Notamacropus eugenii: one gene and its partners. The protein of the gene in region 2 interacts with the protein of the main gene of each other region in a biochemical or structural test. Links are inferred from orthologs where the notes say so. Each region holds a gene or a part of one and is shown on either strand. Other genes may lie near its edges.

Region 1 (7,487 bases), on a different chromosome or scaffold from region 2:
ACATGAGAATTCAACATACACTGGAAGCCTTGGAGTTTTCTTTTCATTTCTTACTTCTTGCTTACTTTCATTTCTTACTCCTGATCTGTGTTCTTTCCCTTCTCTTCTTTCTCTCTTTGAAATAACGCTCAAGTCAGGAGTGGGGAACCTGTGACCTCGAGGTCATAGGTTGCCCACCCCGGCTTAGGTGTAAGAAATGAATTTTTAAAACTATACATATATGCATACATGCATAGAGAGATCTATATATGTATAGATATATTTGTATATATCTCTAAATCACCAAGTATTACTGTACATGTTGATTTAATATAGAGGGGTTTCATCAAGGTCTTCATAGAATTTTTGTTCCTCTCATTCTCTACATACATATCGATGCAAAAATTGCCATGATTTTCATGGTGATTTTTTGGGAGGCACTGTTTACTATGAGTATTATATTACAAGATGACCAAATTTCCCATTAATTATCAGGGCAGCTAGGTGGATCGGTGAATAGAGTGGTGGGCCTGGAATGAAGAACATCTACTAGCTGTGTAACTCTGGGCAAGTCACTAAACCCTGACTGCTTCCAAAAAAAAAGAAAAAAGACATACCCCTAGTACCATCTTCATGTAATCCCCCCCCAACTGCTAGTGTCCTTCTCAAACGACCCTATATTTAACTATTTTGTATATATCTGCATTTATTCAATGTATGTGTGTGTATGTGTGTGTGTATATGTGTGTGTGTGTGTGTGTGTGTGTGTGTGTGTGTGTGTGTGTACACACAGAATGCTGGGCATGGAGTAAGGAAGACTCATCTTCCTGATCTCAAATCTGGGCTCAGATTCTTACTAGCTGCATGACCCTGGGCAAGTCACTCAACCCTGTTTGCCTCAGTTTCTTCACCTGTCAAATGAGCTGGAGAAGGAAATGGCAAATCACTCAAGTATCTTTGTCAAGAAAACCCCAAACTGGGCCACAATGAGTCAGATGTGAATAAAATGACAACAATAGAAAAACAAAAATCGAGTAGAATTGTTTCCAGGGATTCCTTATGCTAGCTGTTCTATAGATCTTTTCTATTTTTCAACCAGTATCAGAATAGTTTTTGTGTGTGTGTGTGTGTGTTTGGTTTGTTTGTTTTGGAGACAACTGGGGTTGAGTGACTTGCCTAGTGTTTGATGCCATATTTGAACTCAGATCCTCCTGATTCCAGGACCAATGCCAAAACAGTTTTGATGATGATTCATTTGTCATATAATTTGAGGTCTGGAAGTTATTCTCCCTGAATTCCTACTTTTTTTTTATGATTTCCCTTGAAATCCTAGGTCGAGGCCTTTGGTTCCTTCCAATGAATTTTATTGTTTTGTCTTGCTGTATAAGGCACACCTTGGTGGTCTGACTGGTAGCTTTCCCATTTTTTTACAGTCACACAGTTGACTAGAAGAGGTGGAAAATCCTAAAGACCCCTCACTGCCTATTGTTTTCTGTCTATTAAAAAAAAAGCATTTGATTTGAAGAAGCAGACTCCTGCCTTAAAGGTTGTCTTTCTCTTGGAAAAGGAAGGAATCTGAGCTTTCTGATTTTTCATCCAAGGTAATTTCTACTACCTTATTCATGCTTTCCTCTATTGCCCAAGACAGTTCTTATTCAGGGGAAGCAAGATTTTAATAAATTTGATAATACCTATTATTAAATAATAAAATGGGCATATTTTATTGACACTAATGAACAGAATTATATGGTGGGCAACAAGCTCTGTGTAGGCCCAACCTATTTTTCATTAGTCTTTACACACAGAGCATACCCATAATAAATATAGGACTGAACTAAGATTGTACCATGTTGCTCTCCATTGTAACTGGGGCTATGAAAACATGGCACAATGAAAAGACTGTTGTATTTGGAGTCAGAGGTCCTGGGTTTGAATTCAGCTCAGCTCTTTACTACCCATGTGAACTCTTAGAAATCTCTACACCTTCCCAGGGTCTCAGTTTCTTCATCTGTAAAATGTGGAGTTTAGACTAGCTGGTCTCTGAGAGTCCTTTCAGTTCTAAATACACGATACAGCTTGGTGGAACATGTTAAGGACAGTGAAGGGGTCTCCTGAATTTGCCATTTTGAGTTGCCATATTTTTCCAGAAACACTGAACCTAGAATATCCAAGAGGCCCTGAATGCGTGAAGGACAAAGCTCCCTGCCTCCACATCTTCCCCAGCTGATGTAATTTGCTGTTTTCATCCCAAACTGTGATGGGGTGCTTGGGTGCTTGTGCTTTTATCCCAATTTCAAGATACCATTTCTCCTTAGTTTCAAAAAACACTATCCCTGACAATTTTCACCCCAGCCCTAGGACACTATGCCTAGCAATAACTCATGAGTGCGCCCCAGTAAAACAAACTACCTTTCCCCACAATTACTCAGGAGTGGGCCCCATCACAAGAACAAGCTGACCTCTGAAGAAGTTCTCTTGTAAAAACAGGACTATCTTGTAACCACCGAATTGCCATGTATTGATTCACAAAGTTATCATATTCAATCCAGAGGTCAAGTTATAGACATCAACTCTCAAAGCTACCTTGCTACTGATAATGTTTAATATAAAATTTTGGAATAATCTCTTTGTTCTCTCTGAAGCAAACTCAGAGAATGCCTCTTCCTATGTCAACAAAGCCAGCCAAGGTTGACTCTACATTCCTTAGGAGACCTTTAACCTAAGATACTATCTTGAATAATGGGATAGACACATACTATGTCATGGCATATTAATGGTAAAGAAAATATAGACATCTTAGGTCGTAATTTCTATTGAACTTTGTTTACCCTTTCCTGTCAGTTATCTGTTTAGGGCAGGAAGCCTGCCACTCACTAGTGGTGGGATTTCCTTCCTTATCACCGAGACATATGTTTACCCAGCTGGAATTGCAAGGCCTGACCAACATTACTTTGTTAATTGTCTTGTCTTACTAAATTTATGATTTGTTCAACTAGGAGAGTTCCTTTCTCACAGCAAAATGTATATAAGCCAGAAGATTTCTGCACTGGGTAGCCAGAACATTTCTGGCTCCATAATGCATTATGTTACCGTTGTCTTTAATAGGGAATTGATTAATTAATTAATTAAATCATAAAATGTATGCATTTAGCCTGTTGACTTTTCTTTAACAAAGTATTCAGGTCAACACTACAGACATAACAGATCAAAAATACACCCCTGAGAAACCCCTTCCCCCGGTTTCCAATAGTGAATGATGCCTGTGAACAAGGTTATAAGTTATCATTTAATTAGCATATCTGCTGGATAATTCACTAGTTTTCCTATATTAGCTTTAGCATCATTCCTGTTAAGTGGCAAGTTCCTTAGGGAACACTGCCTAGCATATTGGCATTACAATAAACCTTTGTCACCTTGACTTACAGAATACTTGAGTCCATGAATTCATTCCATATGACCCTGTCCAGTACTCAGGTCTTTGGGGATCCCTGAGCCCCTTAAAGTGCATCAATTGGACTCTCTGTGTGCCCTTGGGAGTCAAGACAAGGGGCCAGTCAGTCTTCACTAGGCTGAGAAACTGCTTATGTCGCTGGGACCCTGTAGATAAGAAGACCATTCCATTTTCATAGCCTAGAAAAGAATGGGGCTTTTGCTCCTCCCCTTCAAGAGCGGTTTTCTCCTTTTCCCAATTTTCCTGCACCTTTCCCCCTCCCTTGCCATACCCCTTTAAGTGGAGATATCTGGTATCTCCTCCTTCCTTTGTCCTGCTGTTATAAATATGCAAACTTCTGGAAGGTATCCTTCTTTCCTTTGTACCAGGGCACAAACTTTCTTCTTATGGCTTCTAAGGTGCTCACAGACTGCAGAAGCAGGTAAGAGAATCTCGCTGTCTTCTATTTAAGCTAGATATTAAAGAGTTATGTAAAAATATGATAAACTGCCACTTGTCTCCCTAATTTTTGTTTTGGAAAATCGTGTTTTTTTTCATAAAATTATGCTTTTACAGGAAATCTTTACCAACTCCTCTTAATTCTGGGGTCTTCCATATATATGCATATATATATATTTATGTATATATATATATTCTTAAATAATTATTTTTTTATCTTGCACAGTTTGCTTTTTAGATAACTATTGATACGCTGTTTTCCCATTAGTTTGTAAGATCTTTGAAGGCAGGGACTGTCTTTTGCCACTTTTTCTGACCTCAGTGTTTAGCGCAGTGCCTACCGCATACTTGGTGCTTATTAAATGTTTAATGATAATATAATAATACACATCACAATATTATATTTATTGTTCAGTCAATGTCGATGAGGTTTTCTTGGCGAAGACATTGGGGTGGTTTGCCATTTCCTTTTCCAGTGTGTCCTTTCATACACATGAGGCAAAGACGGGTTAAGTGACTTGCCCAGGGTCACGCAGCTAGGAAGTACATGAGGCTGGATTTGAACTCGGATCTTCCTGACTCCAGGCTTGGCCCTCTACCTATCCACTGCACCACCTAACTACAGACAGACACACAGAATTAATGTTATTTATAAATATATAATTATATAGGGTTGAGTGATTGATGCTCACATGGAATGGGTTTGTTTTTATTTTATTAATAAACTTGTAAATATTTTAAAATTTTATCAGTTTAAATTTCTACTGACGGATATAAGCCACATAAACAAAGGTTTGGGGAGGTCCTCGATGATAAAGGCTCCTGAGCACAAAAGCTGCACTTACCGCGTCAATTTCAGGCATGACGGTGCGGGGCAGCCCCGGAGGACGTAACCCGGCTCTACGCACTTCAGCGAAAGCTTTTCTCGTCCGGTCGTTTCCGGCTTTCATTCAGGACGAGCCTCACTCAAGTCGAGTCAGCTGACTCCCAGGGGAGGCTGAGTTAATTACACCCGAGGGGCGCCGGCGGAAGAAAAGGCGAAGCCCGTGAGCAGTGGAGCTTCTTGGCTCCTCTCCCGTTCCGTAGTCCGCGCGTCTTACTACGGCTGCGCGCTGTCTGCCTATAAAAGCGGCGCCGCCTGCGGCTTCCCGGAGTTGTCCTTGCGCTTCTCTCTGTTCCGCTGTGCTGTTTTTCGTTCCGCCTGGGGGTCTCATCGAAACCTCCACCGCGGCCGCCGTCAAGATGGCGTCCACTAGCCGGTCAGTAAGTCCTGCTCCGACTCGCCGGGAGCGAATCCTCGGTGGGGCGGCTTCCGCGGGGCTCCGCGGCGGCGTCGCGGGGGAGGCGAGGCCGAGGAGGCGGGGCCGGGCCCGGGCGCGTCCGGGGGGACGCGGGGGGTTCTCTTCGCCCGCCCTGGGGCTTTCCTCGGACGCTTCCTCTTTTTCTCTCCTGGCCTTGGTCGCGGCTTCTCCGCCGGCCGCCCCCTCCTCGGGTCTCAGGCTCAGCCTAGGCCGACGGCGCGCCGTCTCCGAAAGCAAACCTTCCTACCCCAAATCCCTTCGGGCCTTCTGGGGGAGTCCCTCGGTGGGGTCGGGGGGAGCGCGGCCCTCGCTCCGATGTCGCGTCGACCCTCCTCCGGACGGGCTGCCCTTTGCCCCGGGCGGGTTCAGTCCCCAGCCCAGCCTCTGGTCTTCGGGCCCAAACTGAGTCCTGCGGCTGTTGCCTTTCCCACGGGGAGACCCTGCCCCGGGGCCGCCTGGTTCCCCCCCTCGTCGTGCCCCGCCGCCCATCCTCCGAGCCCGGCGGGCGCCTGCCGTCTTCTCCCGAGCACTCGTAGGCCACTGGGGACTCCCGCCGGCTGCGGGCCGGCCCGGCACCCTTGTTTACAGCCTCCAGTTGGGTCACCCTCGCAGTGGGTGTGGCCGTCAGGTGAGGGTGTGGGGGGCCGCGGGATGGAGACGTCAGGTGTTGCGAGGGCCCTCGGACGGAAGGGAGAAAGAAAGCGCTTCTTTACCATAGATGCTTAGGTACGTTTCGTCATCTTCTGTAACATTTAGGGCAGAATTTAATTGAAAATACATTGGAATACACTAGGGACTGCCCTGCCAATCAAAGGACGTACTATGGTGTTAAGTCACTGTTTACTCTTTGTGGATTAAGGACATCCGTTTCCCCTGAATTAGCACCTTCACCCAAGAAAGGAAGGAAGATGGGGGGAAACCAGGATCTGTTCTTGTTACTTCTTGGAGCTGTTCAGTTTTTGTAAGAGCTGTGTTCTCCAAAAAGCAGAAGAGTTATGTTTTGCGTTCAGCTTTGGTGCGGCAGAAGCCTGTGCTGGGCACTGGGGAAGAGTTTCTTTGAGACCTAGGCCCTGCCTTCCTTGGGTTGGATGCAGCCTGGAACCCAAAACAAGGTTCGGAATCAGCTCTGACTTCTCCTTTTGCCGGAGAATCGTCTGTTTCAGAGTCTCTTTTTCCCTTTCCCTTCTCCCTTCCCCATTATCCTTTTATGGTGGTATAATTGTTATTTTTTATGCTTTTATGTTCATTTTAGGTATTTATAGGTCAGGAAAGCATTTTCATGTTTTACTGGTGGAGAGGGAAGAGAAGGGAGTACAAAGCTTAATAGTATGACTGAAGGAAATTTAAGTTTTGCAGAAATAATCAGAATCATCTTTTTATGTTACATTGATGCAAAATTGGGATGTAATATAGTGACCCACGAGTCAGGAGATCTGAGGTCACTAATCCTCACCAGACCTCAGTTTCCTCATCTGTAAGTGAAGGTGTCTGACGAAATGATTTCTAGTGTTCCTTACAGTTGAAAAGTCTGTAAAACTTTGAAAATTGAACCGTTTCTCTGTTAAGCTTCAACCTGAGTTGGTATGTCCATTCTTTGGGAATATAAATTCTGAAACCGGCCCTATGATAATCAAAATACTTGATGCTGTGGCCTGTGAAAGTCTTTAGTTACCTCAAGTAACATGCTTTCGGTAACCAGAACGTTCGCCCTAAGAATTGGATTATGGAAGTTTTTTATTCAGTGTGATACTGACTGTTGAGAAAATATTTTTTATATTTGTCCTAAAGTGGTTTTATGAATGGAATAGAAGTGGTGAGGCAATTATTATTTGGATCTTAAGGGAATGGGGAAGGCAGCTTTTAAAACATGATGAGTGCTTGAACCTTTCTGATTAAACTGATTCGTATTCTGTCTTTAAGAAATCTTAAGACTAAAAGGTTCAACTTTAACCATGAACTAGTATGCACACAAATATTTGATTACACATGAGCAGCACTACTAGCGTCACAGGTGCCAAAATTAACCGACTTCAGCTTTACTTATCTTTTTCTTTTTCTTTCTTTCTTTTTTGGCAACAAGAGAATCGACCATTTGGCAGAAGGTGAAACCAGATTACTTGGAAAACCCACATACTGGATAATTAACCCCTGAATTAATTCAGTTCAGTTGCCTAAATATAACTTTTACACAAGATGCAGTTTCTTTTTGTAGTTATGGTTGTTAATCTTCACAATCTTCAGGAACTCCTGTTGAAGTAGAGCAGTATTTGTTCTCTAGACCATTGGTCTCCAAACTTTTTTGATCACTCCTATTAGCA
Region 2 (8,022 bases):
GTAGAAGAATTCCAGCCGCTGGATATTTGGAAGCTCCGATGGGGCATCAAACCGCCGTTTAACACATTTTTTCCACTCACTGTGCACAAGCCCTAGACCTGTGTGGCTTCACACACACAAACATAATAATAATATAAAAACTCTCCTAAGTGTAGAAGGGGAGAAGCTTTGGGGTGTGGCTCTGTCCCAAGAGCTCTGAGGCTCCCTCTCAGTTTGAAGGGTCAACAATAAAATCCTTTCCTCTTCTTCCCCACTGAGAGTTCAGACCAGAGAGTCAAGTGTAACTCAGGCTTACTTTGCTGCTCTTATCGGTATGGGGCTCCCTAGAAGACAGATTTCTCCTTAGGGACTAGCAGAGGGTGGGGTGGAGGAGTGCGGAGGCAGGGGACACTTTCAGAGTCCGTGTCCTCAATGGCTCGTTTTAACGCCAAGGAAGAAAAACGACTTTTAGAAGCTTGAAACTTAACCAAATTACTTGCTGCCAACTAAGGAAGAGATTTTATTTAGACTGAATTTAGGCTGCTGGACACAGAAATTGTTAGGAAAAAGGTGCTCCCTTCTTCAGCCTGGCACAGATGATTGAGCCCACAAGCGAACCCAGGAAGTCCCCCACATCCCCGCTTCCTTCCCCACCCCCAGAGGGCTCAAGTCTCCACTCAGTCCCAGGGCAACGTCCTGAAGGGCAACAGGAAAGTCCTATTTGGCAAGGCTCTTCCAATGAAAATAAAAAGAGGGAATAAATTAACCTCAAACCAGCTAGTTGGGGTGTAGTAGTTTAGCAGGACTAATTGCAGACAATGGAGCTGAAATGACTTTTCCAATTAGCTGCTGGTTGGAGTTTAGTTGGAGGAACTGTCAGCTCCAACGATGGGTAATTGCTTTACTGCTCACAAAACTATCATCTATTTAGAACATATGTGCTAATTACTCTGGATGGGCGTCGAGAAAGAGACCATAAATCTATTAGCACTTTAAAAAGTCTATGGTGCTTGTAAGCAACCCAACTCCCCTCCATATTATCGGATGCACAGGTTGGCGTGATGGATGGGTGTCTTTCCGAAAAGCAAATATATTTTCCACTGGAGGCAGCGAGAGGATGTACTGGTCAAATTCCATCAAGGGGAGGGGGAGAGAGTCCTGCCCACTCATTTCACTCCAGCGATAAATCAGTGTCACCAAGCCCTCTTTAGTGGCATTGCGCTTTTTTTCTTTTTGCAAAAGATTACTTTAGAAATCTTTTAATTGGATTACACTGGAAAATTAATCTCTTTAGGCTTGACTAAATTTGTTGTACCCAACATTGAGAGTGAAATCTAAGTCACCGAAGGCAAGGATACACTGATGAGCTTTCCTCCTCCTGAAGCCCGCCCTAACCCAAGCCTTTTTCCCAGGGTCAAGGAGCAGAGCTCTGCAGATCCTTTTAGGGGATCTTGGCTCCTGAAGTCCTAGATCCCTCCAGCTGCACCTACTGGGGCGGGAAGGGGGGATGGTGCTGGATCAGGACCGTGGCTGGGATAATAATGAAGAAAGCTACAACAGGCCGCTCACGTCTTTTCTGGGTGAATCCTCTTAATTCCGGGCGCCACTTTTCCACCTTCTTTCACTTACTGCTTAAACAACTTCAGTACTCTCAGCTTGCTTGCAATCAGCAATCGGAGCCCCGTCCTATAACCCCCTTGCCTGTGTCAAACTTTCAGGGGTTTCAGCCCTGCTTGCGGAGACTCAACTAACCTGGTAAGAAAAATTAGTAGCGACATATATTGGGCTAACATCCCACCTCCCCGGTATTTTCACCCAAAGTCCCTGATTAAGGCTCCGGCAATCCTAGAGAAGACTAAGAACAAAGCTGCACTACCTTCCCTTACCTAACTGTATCCTCAAGCTCAACTTCTTGCGTAAAAACGCACGACTTGCTCTTGGAGTGTTCTCTGTGGCACTACCTAGGAGATTTCCCTTTCTGGTGCTCTTGGCCTCTCTGATCCGACCCCAGTCCGATACCGGTCTCGCCAGTCCTCACAACCCAGCAGCCCCTAAAGCAGTCGACTTACTCGACTTCTCACTTCTCCCAGAGTTGGTAACTGATTTCCCTGCTCACCAGTTCCCTACTTCCCAGAAGTTGGTTCTGAGGGAACCAGCATCCCTCCAGAGGAGCGAATTCGACCTGACCTCCAGTAATTTCTCTGGCGGTTTGCCGCGATTATCTGCGGGAGATTACAACATCTGTATGAAATGGGATACCTCACTTTTTAAGCTCAATTTAGCTCTTAATAGCAGCCCTGTGAGGTGTGGTTAATTGGTGGGGATAAAGGCATAATGACTTGACAAGGGAGACCACAATGATCCGTTAATGTATTTAAAAACAACAAACCCAAACAGTGACATTGTCATTTCATGGAATGGGGTCGGGGGAGAAAGGGATCTAGGTATTTCAAAAGCAGAGCATTTGCAACTAGTACCTGACTGTGTCTTTCTGTTGGGAGTCCTGGCTCTGGTTGGCTCTGGCACAGAATATCCAGTGTCTGCCTGGCAGAACTTCCTCCCATCAGAAAGGGGTTAAGGGAGCCACATTGGACTTTGGGGACAACCTTCGGGGAGTTTGGGGTCTGGACCAAGGTGAAAGCTCAGGCAGAACAGGTGATTAGAATGGCTGTGTGTTGTTAGTGGGGTTGGGGGGGGGGGGGGTGGGAGACTGGAGTTTCGAGGGTCAGGACTGACCTAGCTATACTTTCAAAGAGGCTCGGATTCAGCCATACTCCATCCTTTCTTAAGTCCCAAACTCTAGATTCCAAACATATTCTGTCCTTTCAGTACAGAACCTCTTCTCGCCTCTTGGATCGGGGGTTGGGAGCGGAGGAAGAACTACCAACTCTGGGAATTCTACTGCTTATTCAGAAGTCAGTGACTTGAAACATCGGCATTGCTTTAAGTCTATCACAACAGGAAGTAGAGTACTATACAGACAACCACAGAGACAGGTATGTGAATTGGTTAGAGGCCATACACATATGGGGGGATATGACATGTGAGACCTTCCTCAAAACATACAAGAACTGTGATAAACCGCTTAAGGAGGTGGACATAGCTACACAAAGATTTCTTAGAGCTACGTGAACTTCATAACTACAAAATAGTCATAAAGATTCACATTTTAAAGCCATCCTTCCAATTCAACTCAAACTATGATTTACCCATCGATAGTCAGGTCTCTCTCTCAAATGAGATTAAAGCACTTAAACACATAGGTGTTTAAAATGAGCTCTCTCTCTCTCTCTCTCTCCCCTTCTCCCCCATTCTTCCTCCTTTTCTTTCTCCAGTCCCCAACCCCCTGCCCCAAGTCACTTCCCAACCGCGTGTCCTATTTTAGGTTGACATAAACACTAATAAAAAAAGCAACAGAATCTTACGGAAATCGGGACGTCCTTTCTGTGTGAAATTGTCAATGCTCTCTGGGGTTAGGGCCGCAAGCTTCCCTTTCATGTTTTGCAGTGTCTCCTGTTGAAAATGTTTACAGTTTGGAGAATGCTAACCTTGATTTTTCAGGTTTGAGCTCCCTCTGGAAGCGGAAAGAGAAATGACTCCACATTACTGTACATATTTTATTGCAATGATAGATCGCAGGTGTTTCAGCTGCTATTGTCTGCTTCCCTCCCAAAGAGATAGAGCTACAAGAAACTTAGTTAACTTGTCCTTTTGAAGAGCTGAGGAGCTCATGGTATCATTGGTTCAAGAAGTTCTGGGTGTCAAGGATTTTGAGATTAAAATTCTAAATTCCTCAGATTTACCTATGTCTTGCCTGTCCAATCTTTTAGCCTATTACTGTTATTGCCACTTCAACATTTGTGGTCTTTCAGTGCTGAATCATTAAAAAATCAAGATTTAAATGCTGGTTAACCCATGTGTTCTACTTCCTCTGCAGAGCGAATTAGGGGAAGGATGGCTTTAGATGAATAGCCAGATCCCTAGCCTACAAGATATCTGATATATGTCAATGCTAGAGCATTTCTTTTTACAAAGGTCAGATCACTGACACTTAGAGTAGACTCTCTTCCTTCCCCCTCCTCCCCATTCAAGAAGCCCCTTCATCCAATCAATCTGAAGAAGAAAAAAAAACCAGAGGCAAGAAAGTCTTTCTTAAGTCTTTGGTGGTCTTTAACCTCAGAACCCAGTATTTGTTTTCCTCTGGGTACCTATGTGTTCACTTTCCCAGCCCAATCAAGCCATGGGATTGACTAGCAGGCAGGAGGCCCCAAATGTCATCTTTTACTTTGATGTTTGCCCTAAGAGGCATCCTGGCCTAGTGGATAGAAAAACGTCCTTGAAGCCAGGAAGACCTGAATTCAATTTCAGTCTCTGACATATTGACTGTGACTTTGCACATGCATGTCACTTAATCTCCCAGAGCTCTAGGTAACTTTCTAAGAGTATAAGTAACAGAAAAGCTGCCCAACAGCACTGGAAGGGGGAATTTGCTCACTTGAGAGTTCCTTAATCAATGAAATCACAGGTCTGATCTCTATCATGTATCTACCCATCCTCTCTCAAGTCACGTATCATTGCCTTCTTCTACCTCTCTACTGAAATAAGTTCCCTTATAAATAAATCACCAATTTATGGCAGTCTAAATGAGATCCTATTGTGTAGGAGTCCTTCCGCCACCACTCTTGTCCTTCCTCTTTTGCTGGAGATTATATCTTGAGAGGAACCATGGAGTATCTGCAGCCTCTTTGTCTAGAGGATAATATGACCCCAGGAGGAAGGGAAACAAGTCTCAGTTCTCTGTTTTCTGAGAAACCATTGGTTTCCTTTCTACCATAGAGGTGTTGTAGGGTGCAAGAAGAAACATCAGCATCAGTGAGGTGAGTGGTTAGGTCCAGGAAGAGACACATTAGCTAGACCAAAAGGGCCAACTTTTTTAGGATTTAGCCTGCAGTTGCATAGTAGGGAAGGTGGGGCAGAAAGACTGTTTGCAGAGGAGTGTGTGGAAATCTGGGTCACATTTTTCTGTGAAGGGTAAGATTGGGATGAGTTTTGGGAGGAAAAAAAAGGTGGAGTCAATGGGGTTGGTTAAGACAGAAAGGTATGTGGAAGTGGAACACGTGGGCAGAAAGCCTGGGAAGTGGGGCCAACCCGACCTGGGGAGGGGCAAAACTCCCTTCTCAACTCTCCTCCAAGTCCCATTGCCGATGGCCTAGCCCTATTAGTCGCCAGGTAAACGTCTCTCTAGCTCTGGACAGTTCATTCGAGGTTCAGGGAGAGTGTCAGTCCTCCTTGACGTCTTCTATTCCTCTCCTGAGTGCAGTTTGTCAGATGCCGTCAGGGATGCAGCTTGGGATGCCGTCTGCACCCTGCCCTAGACTACAAAGATAGTGATGGTGAAAGATCGAGAGCTCAAAAAACGATGCCTGCAACTCCGCCCTCCCCCTTCCCCTATTCTCAATAGCTGAAATCTTTCTAGTGCTTCTCCGAAAAAGCATTTTCTTTCAAAGGCCAGTGAGCGCCTAAGCAGACTGTGCTGCACGTAGTCAGTTGCACCTTCAATAGATGTTCACCTAGGAGTGTCAGGGAGAAGGTCCCAGAGCATGGAGGGGGGCGCCCTGAACCCAGCTTCCTAGAATAATGAGCTTTTGGTGTGGGTGCAAACTGTCGGAAAACAACTTTGTTCCTGATTAAGTTCAGAAACATTCCTCTTCAAGGCTGTTCCAAAGCTGAGAAATTGCTGTTTTGCAGAAACAGGTCTTGAGAGAGTGCAGTCTAAGGAGTTTATCTAGAGGTATTTGTAATCTTTCCAAATGATAGCGCTGGCATTGAGATCGCCACCAGGACACTGAATAGTATCTTCCTTCAGACAGGGATCGAGAAGAGGAAATATACCACTGTGCAGCCAAGCTGTGCTGAGGACTGATTGAAAGAAACTGCTGCTCCAGATGTTGCTCTAGCTGGCTTGCGAAGTGTGAGCAGGTAATTCCGGGAAAAGTGACATTGTTAACAGAAAGCATCTAATTAACAATGACTTCATTTGATTGGAAGGATGAAAAAGCCTTTTTAAATCAATCCAGATTGACTGGCCTGAGCAGAGCCAATTTATGAATATGGAGGCCGAATGGGGTCTGCTTTCTTTCAAAGATGTCATTCGAGGGATAATAGCATAGGTGAAGTCATTTGGCTACAGGGTGGAAACTTTTATAGGGCCTTCCTTGGGAATTTAATTCAGTGCTTCTTCATTTTATTAGGAACAGACTGACTCCATCAACTGGGCTCTCCCTGTTTAGAGACAAGACTGCTTGAAGCAATTAGGTTCACCAATTAGCATAGTTTTACTGACCCGGGCAACAGCAGCTCTGGCTCCTCAGATTATCCGCTTCTTCAAAGTCCCGGGAAAACGGAGAAAAACATGCTACCCAGGTGTGCCAGGAAGGAGTTGAGCCTACAAACAGGTTAGCTATTCTGGTTCTGATAAAAAAGTTCTCCTCTCAGTAGTGGTACCTTAAGATAGATGCTGCAGAGACATGTAAACATTTTTCTTCCCTTTCTTGACCAAGGACCTCATTCTAGTCACTACTCATTTTGTTACTTTATCTTACACACCCTGACACTTCCCTCCCCCTCCACTTTGGTTGTTATGTTTGGGCAGAATCCTTTCCAGGAAGGTACATTTCCTGCCTCTCCTTCCCCTGTCCTGATGGTTCTCAGGAAAAGGCCAGGGCCCAGGGATAATTTGCTGCCTTCCTGCCTGAAACCATGTTAGACATCAAGGTAAGGGAGCATGTCTAGGACTGGTGAGACTTCATGAGGCAAAAAAAGATGTGTGTGTGTGTGTTTGTGTGTGTGTGTGTGTGTGTGTGTGTGTGTATGTGGTGGGGGGTTGTGTGGGGACTTAGCCTGAGTTCTTACTCATTCTGATATGGCAGAAATTATCTTGATCTTGATTCCCTCAGACCATTAACCGTTAGTGTGATGCTCAAAGGTTTCCTAAAGGGCAGTGTGAACACCATATTGCCCTTTGAGTACCATCTTTAATTCCAGAAAATATCAGAAGGGCCAAGTAGGCTGGCTAAGAAGCTTTGCTGTGGACTGCAATGGGTATACTTTCAGTAGATCAGCAAAACTTCTCCTTCTGACCAGGATCTCCTTCAGGTACCTTTTCAGCTGAAAGGGGAACTTTTTTGTTGAGATCTGTCTTCTCCAACTTATATTGGTTGTCTCTCTCCCCTACAAATGCATATTCTTACCTAAGAATTTCACTAAATTAAATTTCTGACAGTTCATCAGTAGCAACTACTGTGAAATTCCCTTAACCTTATTAAATCAATAAATGCCAGATCCATGCATTGAATTAAAATAATGCATCAGCATGGCTACGAATTGCAATCATATGGTCATGGTCCTTAGACCGATTTAGGGATTGTCCAGTTAGTACTGTTTAGATTTATCTTTCTTCTTTGGGCCAGGACCTGGACAGCAAAGTCTGTCTGAGGCTTTGAAAATTCTTTCCCTCTGATTACTATTTACATTGAACTCCACAAATGAAGTAGATGTTTGACAACAATGATACAATGTGGATCATATATTTCTTGTCAATCACTGTTTTTCATCATGGAAATATACTGTCATTTAGAGCACATTGTTCTGTGTAAAGATAATCCTCAGGGGTAGAATTGTGTGCATGTGCTTGAATAGGCACATATGCCAACATTGCTCTGATCTATGTTTGCACTCATGAATATACTGTATATATACACCTTGATGAAGATGCATTGATAGCTGTAACAATTGCGCAGTGTGTTCTCTCAGCATCAAAACAGATTAAATGGTATCTTACCAGCATTGTTAAGTGAATTAAAAGATAAAGATATTTTGTAATTTAAAAAAGTTGTTTATTGAGCTTAATTTGCTCCAAAGAATTTACCCTATGTGGTAGAATGACATTTTTCAAGTCTTTAAACTTGGCATGGTACTTACAAAGTCACACACTTTGAATTATTTCATTCTGTACATGAAAGGACATCTCAAAGGTGACTTCTC
Region 3 (7,611 bases), on a different chromosome or scaffold from region 2:
GATAGATAGATAGATAGATAGATAGATAGATAGATAGATAGATAGATAGATAGATAGATAGATAGACCGATAGATGAATGGATGGATGGATAAAGGAGTGAAGGGGGGGAGACCAAATCGTAGGTGGCTTGCCCTCCAGTCCTCCCACAGCCTTCACACCAACCATCACTGTGAGCATAGTAACTCGGCTTCCCTTTCTGCCTCCTTACTACTTTCCAGTAATGCGACCAAGAAAAGAGATGAAATTAAGAGCAAACCTACCTGCTTCTTCCTTCAAATGTTTCCCCCTTAAACACAAATGCAGGCGAGGTTTTCTCCACCACAAGCCTTATTATCCCCACCACCAACCCCTCAACAACTCCCCCCACCTTTCCCCCTCCCCAAAAAACAACCTAAGCAATCATAAAGAAAATACTTGGGGTGGGGGGGGGGAGATTGAATTCTCAGGAAATTAGATTCATGTCTACCGGGTAGACGTTTTTCAATTCCTTCCCCCCCCAAAAAAAGGGGGACATTGTGATTGTTACTCCTCGGTAAAAGAAGAAAATGTCAATTAGCCTAAAGTACCTTTATTTTTAAGAAAAGAAAATAAATGAAGCTCAAATCTGGTTGCGAAACATTTTGTTTCTTTTAAATAACAATGTAACCAGGTTGAATCTTCATTTATGTTCTCACAAAGGTGGGGGGGGGATACAAAATTAAAGTGAGCTTCCTCCCCTTCCCTCCAAAAAGGTCATCCCCATTTAAAGCCAAACGCGACTCAAATATATCCCTCCCATACCCCCCTTCAAAAAATAATCCACCAAATTCTTACAAATTTCTCTCTGTAACAAAGAACAGATCGCAACACCCAAAGCTCCTAGCAGATGGCTTCTATTCTTGGTTTTCAGGGGAGGGGAAGACCCCATATATTTATTTATTTATTTATATCTTTATTTATTTATTTAAATTTTTTAAAAATATAACATAAATATTCGCATTTCCACCGTCTCCAGACAGCCCTCGGCTGCTCGGCGCACAGCCCTCCCGAACACAGCCGGGGCGTTTTGGCCACAACCATAATAGGTTTATGGTGAATTGCGAGAAAACAACCTGCCTCGGATCCTGATTGCACCCAGAGGATGTTTTATTTCTATTGCAATAAAAAAAATTGCGCGCGGCTGAGAAGTGAAGCACGCGTTGCAGGCAGAGGGCTAGAGAGAAAGGGAGAAAGCTTGTGTGCGGCAGGAGGTGCAGCCAGACCTTTGGCCACCGGTGCCACTGAGAGCCTGGACTTCATCTTCCAGCGTCTGGGAGGCTTTCCTCCGTCTACCTTTGTGTACGTTTGTCTATTTTGTTCTCTATCTCTTCCTTTCTCTTTCTTTTTTGCAAGAGCGTTGGAAACTGCAGCTTACACATGGTGTTTCCAGACTTGGCTCTCCTAAAGTGAATCTATCCTCCCAGCAACTCGCTTTCTCAGTGTAGTTGACTGCAAATGAGGGCTATCTTTGCTTGTGTTGATTTAGACAGGGAAGAAGATGGATTCGATTGATAGATGATAGATGGATAGGTATCTACTTTTAGATGGATAGGTGCACCCCAATCTCTCCCATTCTTAGCTGACATACTTTTCCCAGTGGTAGGAATTTTTCAACAGCTCAAGTCTCCCCACCTTTTGGGGGGGAAGGGAGGGGGAAAAGAAAGCAGGATTATCCCAGGAGACACGGAGGTGGGGAAATGGGGTGGGGGGAGAAAGTAGGGGGGTGCTGAGGCTGGGCAAGCAGCTACCAAGTTCAGTTGTTTTGCTGGGGGTGGGGGGGGGTGGATTGGTCTGCAGCACCTGGAAAGCTGCACTGGCCTGCAGCCTGGGCTCCCCTCCCCTCTCCAGGCTCAGAGTCCCGAGGACCTGACTCTTTTCCCGCGGGCTGGCTGGCGGGCGCAGAGGGCTCCTCCCCGGCTGCCTGCCCGCCTGCCTGCCCGGATCCCCGGCAGCCGCCGCCGCCGCCGCTGCCGCCGCGCGCCGCGCCCCTCCCCCCCGCGCCATTACCTCAAGTCTCCCCCAACTCTCCCAAGAACCGGGCCCTGAGCGCAGCCCCGCAGCCACCCGCTTCCTCCCCCGGTCAGCCAAGCTCCAACTTTTCCCCCCACTTCCAGGCTCTGCGTATCCACCCTCCTAAAAAAAACCACACAGATTCCTCACCCAAACCCCTCCTCTCCCCCACTCTCGTCCCCTCCCCAGTCCTGCCGCCGCCACACACCGTGCACCGTGCAATCCACCCCAAGTGCCCCCTACACACACCTTCTCCCCTGCAAACCCCCCGACCCCCCGGCCCGGCCTTCCAGCCCGTTCCCGGGCTGCATCTTTCCCCAAAGCCGGCGGCGCGGTTGTCTCTCCCACGCTGCCGGCAGCACCCCGATGCAAAAGAAACTTTAAGCTTTCTCGCCTCCCCCCACCCCAGCCTTCCTTTCCCCAGCCTTTCAATCCCCCCTTCTCCCCTCCGATTTCCAATGACTAACATCAGCCTCGGCTGTCTCTCCCCCACCCCCTCCTCTTTTTCCCCAAGACTTTTTTTTAAAGACACCCCCCACACACACTCTCCCAATCCGTTTCCCTCTCCCCAACACCCCCGGAGCCCTAGGCTCCTAATTCTTCTAGTTTCAAATTGAGACTTACGTGTGATAATCTCCCTTTGTGACAAGTGTTGCGGGTTCCCCTGTTTGCGGCGGGACATTGCCTGGCATTTACACTGACATCGCCCGGAGAGCTGTACCGGTTGGGGGGAATGGAGAGGGGAGGGGGGTGGAGGTTAAAGCCGCTGCTGCTCCCCGCCTCTTTTTTTCCTTCTTTCTTTCTTGCCCCCTTTTTCTCCTCTTCTTCTTCTTCTTTATTTTGTTCTTCTAGTTTAAAAAACTTTCAAATTTAAATTTTAGAAAGAAAAAAAACTCTTGTTGTTGTCGTGCACTAGATGAAATCCCCCCAATATTTAGAAAAAAAAAATTTAAGAGGTAAAGAAAAAAAAATATCTGTCTCTCACTTCTCCAAACTGTTTGGCCACTTGGACTTCCAAATGTCTTCTTGAACTTAGAGGATTTTGCACCAACCCGTGACACTTTTCTCCAAAGTCTCTGGTAGGTGGAAAGCGCACTTCCACCAGGACGGAAAAAAGAATATGAAAAAGAATAAAATAAAATAAAACTTGGGACTTGTTTTCCCCCGCCCCTTGCCAAAAAAAAAGAAAAAAGAAAAAAAAGAAACATAAAAGTGCCCCCCAATTTTTTCTGACACTAACCCTTTTGGCTGGTTTTGGGGGGCAGCTCAGTAGTGTCTCCTTTCCAGTTCACCTGGAACGCTCGCCCTATGCCTTGGGTTCCCAGAGTCCCTGCACCACTTTGCACTGTTCTCCCTCGCCTGGCACAGGGGAAGGAAGGTAGGACGGTAGCCCAGTGCTGCTGGGTCGGTGCGAGCTATTACTATTATATATATATATATAAATATATATTGCAATGTGAAGATGGCGGAGTCCAGGTTCTCTGGGAGCTCTCTGTCTCTCTATGGCTGGGGCTGCCTCTGTACAATGGGATAAAATTCAAGTTCAAGTGCGGACGTGACGTTTAATCTGCACTAGAGACAAAAAGACCCAGAGAGTCGGAGCACTGGGGGCGACTAGTGGTGGCTTTTTAACATTGTACCCTGCAAGAGAACAAGAAAACACACACACACACACATACATACACACGAGCGCACATGCACACACACCAACCCAACCACATGTACAAATCGGGTTTTTGTGCGCTTCTGCTTTTCCATGGTACATGTTTGGGGGGACAGAGGGGAATTCGTAATTTTTTTTTTAAATGATGGTAATTATGACAAAATATTCTTCACCTGTCCACCACTCTTGCGGGCAATACCCTGGATTGATGGAAGGATATAGGAGATGGAAGATATACAAACCCCGACAGCTAGGGTCTTCTTTCCTAGTGGAAAACTCCTTCACTTTCACCCCCCAATAAGATATCATTTTGGATGTGGGGGAGAGCATATGAAGCAACTTGGAAATAGTTGGAGTTGTAATGAGACGGGTTGGGGAAGAGGTAGAAAGGGGGATGGCCAATTATTTAACCACCCCGCCAAAAAAATTCCAGTCAAGTAAGTTAGGTAGTGGGTTCTTTGAGGGTTGGTATAGAGTTATTTAGGGAGAGGAAAGATTGTTAAAACTCTTCTAGAAAATGATTCTTTTAGAACCTCAGTGCTGTATATAGGGCGGAGGGGTCGGTTGAGGTAGGGAGAGTTCTGGCCGAGATTGAAGTGCGGTCTTCCTTATTTTATGAGACTCCTGTTTTGGTAATCTGCCTTCCCCCTCCTCTTTCCCTTCCATCCCCCCACCCCCGGTCTGAGCGTAGTTTTCCCCGAAAGACACTCATCCTAGTTCCTTACTTGAAGTCAGTTCGTGTCAAACATTCCCTTCCCTCTCCCAATTACTCTGAAATCTGCATAGAGCGTTTGGGGGGGGGGGGGGGTTTGGGGGGCAAAGATAAGGGTTGTAATGTTGATCAGAGTTCGATGCCTCTGGCAGGGTGGCGGAGGCATCCTTTATCTATTCACTTTTGGCTCGTGAAGAAATTCAAGGCACAGAGGAGCTTGAACGTGGTCCCTTAACCATGACTCTCTGTGGAATCCCCTGCCAGAGAGGCACAAAATACCCTTAAGAAACTCGTTTCTCAGCAGTAGAATGTCTGACACTACCCATCTAAAGAAGAGGGGATATTTATACGGCCCTTAAAAGTCTTCCCTGTCTCCTTCTAGTTTAATTGGGAAGGATACAACTACCTTTTAGGCATCACTCCAAGGCCCAAACCCGGAAAAAGGCAGGGCTGCGAACCCCAGGCTAAAAGTGTATGTGTATGTGTCTGTATGTAGAATCCCTGGAACTCTACCCTCCACCTTCCTCATTTCAGCCTATTTTTCTCATCTCCCCTTCCCCATAGGTGGCTTTCAGGGCTACGGCGTAGGAAAGATAACTTTTGTTAAGCGGAGGATAAGCCACTTTGGGACCTCCCTTGGTCCCCAGGGAGGTTTAAAATGCAAGCCTTCTCTAAGACTCGCCTCTCACTCCTAGCCTTCCTTTTCCTACACTTCGTATTCCCAGCACTCCAGACAGTGACCTGGGAGGCCCAGGCCTCCGGGGCAGCGCTGCCCCCTTCTCCATTCCCCGCCCCTCTCTACTCTCAGGGACCAGCTCAGAAGCGAGTCTGCACAAACAGCTAAGAAGTAGTATGCATTTAGCACCTCTTAAGCAGTTTATTTTTCTCCCCTCCCCCTCATTCTTTATGGGCTGGGGGTGGTGGGGTGGTAGTTATTTGTTTGCTTTTAGGGTCCTATAAAGGAAATTAGCATCCTGGATAGTAACTGCTCGTAGCAATTTTGAGTGCGTCCAGAAATCCTACTCTACTTTAAAAAAAAAAAATTAGTCAACTCATAAAGTTATGCAAACAATCGAATGGGGGGGAGGGGGGAGATGTGAACTGCTCTCAAATGATAGCGCCGGAGGCAGAGTGAGGAGCGCAAGGGGGAACGGCTGGGGTGGGGGTGGGGTGGGCGCAGTTTTTGAATGAGTAGCATCTTCTGCTAGGAGGTGAGCCAGTAGAGCCGAACCGGGTGGTGAGATCATAAGGGCCAAACTGTAGGGCACAGGGTTGAGGCTTAGGTGGAGAGACAGCGCCCCCGGGGGACAGGGGCTTTTTTCCACCGTGGGAGGCGGGCGGGGGGGAGGGGCGGGGGGAGAGAGAGAGAGAGGGAGAGAGAGAGAGAGACAGGGAGGGAGAGAAAGAGAGAGAGAGAGAGAGAGAGAGAGAGAGAGAGAGATTTCTGCATAAATCTTTCCATGCCCTACCTCCATTTACCTGAAGTCTGAAAAGCTGCCGCCTCACCTAACGTCAAGATGATCGATGAGTCGGGGGTCACGGAAAGCTTTCTAGGAATGCCGCTTGTGTTCAAAGAAAATGACCCTTCGCTTACACCTCTCCAAAAAGTTCAGAGGCATACCTTAGACTGACTACCCTGAATCTATTTACCCTTTCTAGGAGTCTGAGAACACACGCACTTCAGTCTCCTTGTTTTTTGTTTATAACATATATACACACATATATATACATGTATGTATATACACATATATATATACATATATGCCCCTTTATACTAACACATATACACAAAATACGTATGTTTGTATACATATATATCATACATATGCTATATACATTCCTATATAATACACAGAGAAATTTGATGTCACCTAACTGTAGTTTTTTCAGGTGATATAAAATCGTTCCACAAGCTAAGCCAAGAAACTCAAGACCTGAGTAGGAAGAGAGAGGGAGAAGACAAACTGTGGGTTCTTCTGAGAGGGAAGGAAACACGAAAAAGGAGGCCAACGGGACATCAGAAAAGTGATCCACAGGGTGAGAAGAATTCACCTTTCTCTGGGGAGATAAAGCACTTTTCATAGCGATCCAGACCTCAGCAGGATTCCCTTAAGTTTGGGATGGAATTACGAAGGGGGGGGAGTAATTGGAATTCCTTCCTTATTTCTTCCCTGGATCCTCTTTCCATCTCTGCATGTCCAACCAGGAAGTCGCTGGCAGCTTCAGACAGTGACTGTCAGTGGGCATTTCACTCAGGAACCTGGGATAAATAAATGATAAACCCATGGGTGAGTTTCCTTATTACTTTCTCAAACCTGAACTAGGCGTGGGGAGCACACAGTGCCTATCCCGGCAGTGTGATGGTGCCTTCTCTGCTTCCACTGATAAGGTATCTGGCCTGTTTCATCAAAAAGGTGTGCCCTTTTATTTTTGCCCCTAAAAAATGAAAAGAGAGAGAGAAAGAGAGAGAGAGAGAGAGAGAGAGAGAGAGAGAGAGAGAGAGAGAGAGAGAGAGAGAGAGAGAGAGAGAGGAGAGGGAAGGAAAGAAAATATAGAGGAGAAAGAAAAAAAGAGAAGAGAAAAAGAAAGTAAATATAGAAAAAAGAGAGAGAGAAGAGGAGAGGGAGGGAGAGAGAGAGAGAGAAAGAGAGAGAGAGAGAGAGAGAGAGAGAGAGAGAGAGAGAGAGAGAGAGAGAGAGAGAGAGAGAGAGAGAGAGAGAGCCTAACTGCTGCTCCAGTCTCTTCTTTTTTTTCTCTCCCCCGTCTGGCACTTGTGATCATTAGCACTGAAAGCTGTTAATGTCTTGTCTCACAGCTCCCCCTTTAGTCTCCTTGCTCTCCTGTCTCGCGTTCAAAGCCAGATCAATAGCAGTCTCTTTTCCAACCTTGACCTATCCCTCGACCCCGCCTCCGTCTGCAGCTGGGCCCACTGTTCTGTTTTCTCACTCTGTCGATATCAAGTCACAATCGGTGACAGCAGACAAACAAGAAGAACTAGCCTCTCTCCCGGGGCGAGCTGAACTCGCCCCCCACCCCCACCTACCCCACCGCCTTTCCTTTTCTTCCACTCTTTCCCCCAGCACTGCCAGCTACAATGGCACTGGGACCAGAAATGTTTCTGTCCCACGAATTATTTTCATTCTTGTTCCAGGGATCTCCCTCACCCTGCCTTTGATCTATCAGTGGTTTGATTATAATAAAAGGTAC

The links. The genes of interacting proteins can lie anywhere in the genome.
Region 1: the proteins of NR2F1 (region 2) and GTF2B form a complex in vitro, tested with the Homo sapiens proteins (2 studies listed by BioGRID and IntAct). The link is inferred for Notamacropus eugenii from reciprocal best matches to the Homo sapiens genes NR2F1 and GTF2B.
Region 3: the proteins of NR2F1 (region 2) and BCL11B form a complex in vitro, tested with the Homo sapiens proteins (2 studies listed by BioGRID). The link is inferred for Notamacropus eugenii from reciprocal best matches to the Homo sapiens genes NR2F1 and BCL11B.

What each region holds. Positions count from the first base shown.
Region 1 is NC_092873.1:499,140,444-499,147,930, reverse strand, and holds the start of GTF2B (transcription initiation factor IIB), read left to right. Parts: upstream 1-3,962; 5' UTR 3,963-5,110; coding exon 5,111-5,127; intron 5,128-7,487. UniProt on the Homo sapiens protein: General transcription factor that plays a role in transcription initiation by RNA polymerase II (Pol II). Involved in the pre-initiation complex (PIC) formation and Pol II recruitment at promoter DNA.
Region 2 is NC_092875.1:445,983,504-445,991,525, forward strand, and holds the start of NR2F1 (COUP transcription factor 1), read right to left. Parts: upstream 3,499-8,022; 5' UTR 3,405-3,498; intron 1-3,404. UniProt on the Homo sapiens protein: Coup (chicken ovalbumin upstream promoter) transcription factor binds to the ovalbumin promoter and, in conjunction with another protein (S300-II) stimulates initiation of transcription. Binds to both direct repeats and palindromes of the 5'-AGGTCA-3' motif.
Region 3 is NC_092872.1:356,898,687-356,906,297, reverse strand, and holds the start of BCL11B (B-cell lymphoma/leukemia 11B), read right to left. Parts: upstream 3,526-7,611; 5' UTR 2,712-3,525; coding exon 2,654-2,711; intron 1-2,653. UniProt on the Homo sapiens protein: Key regulator of both differentiation and survival of T-lymphocytes during thymocyte development in mammals.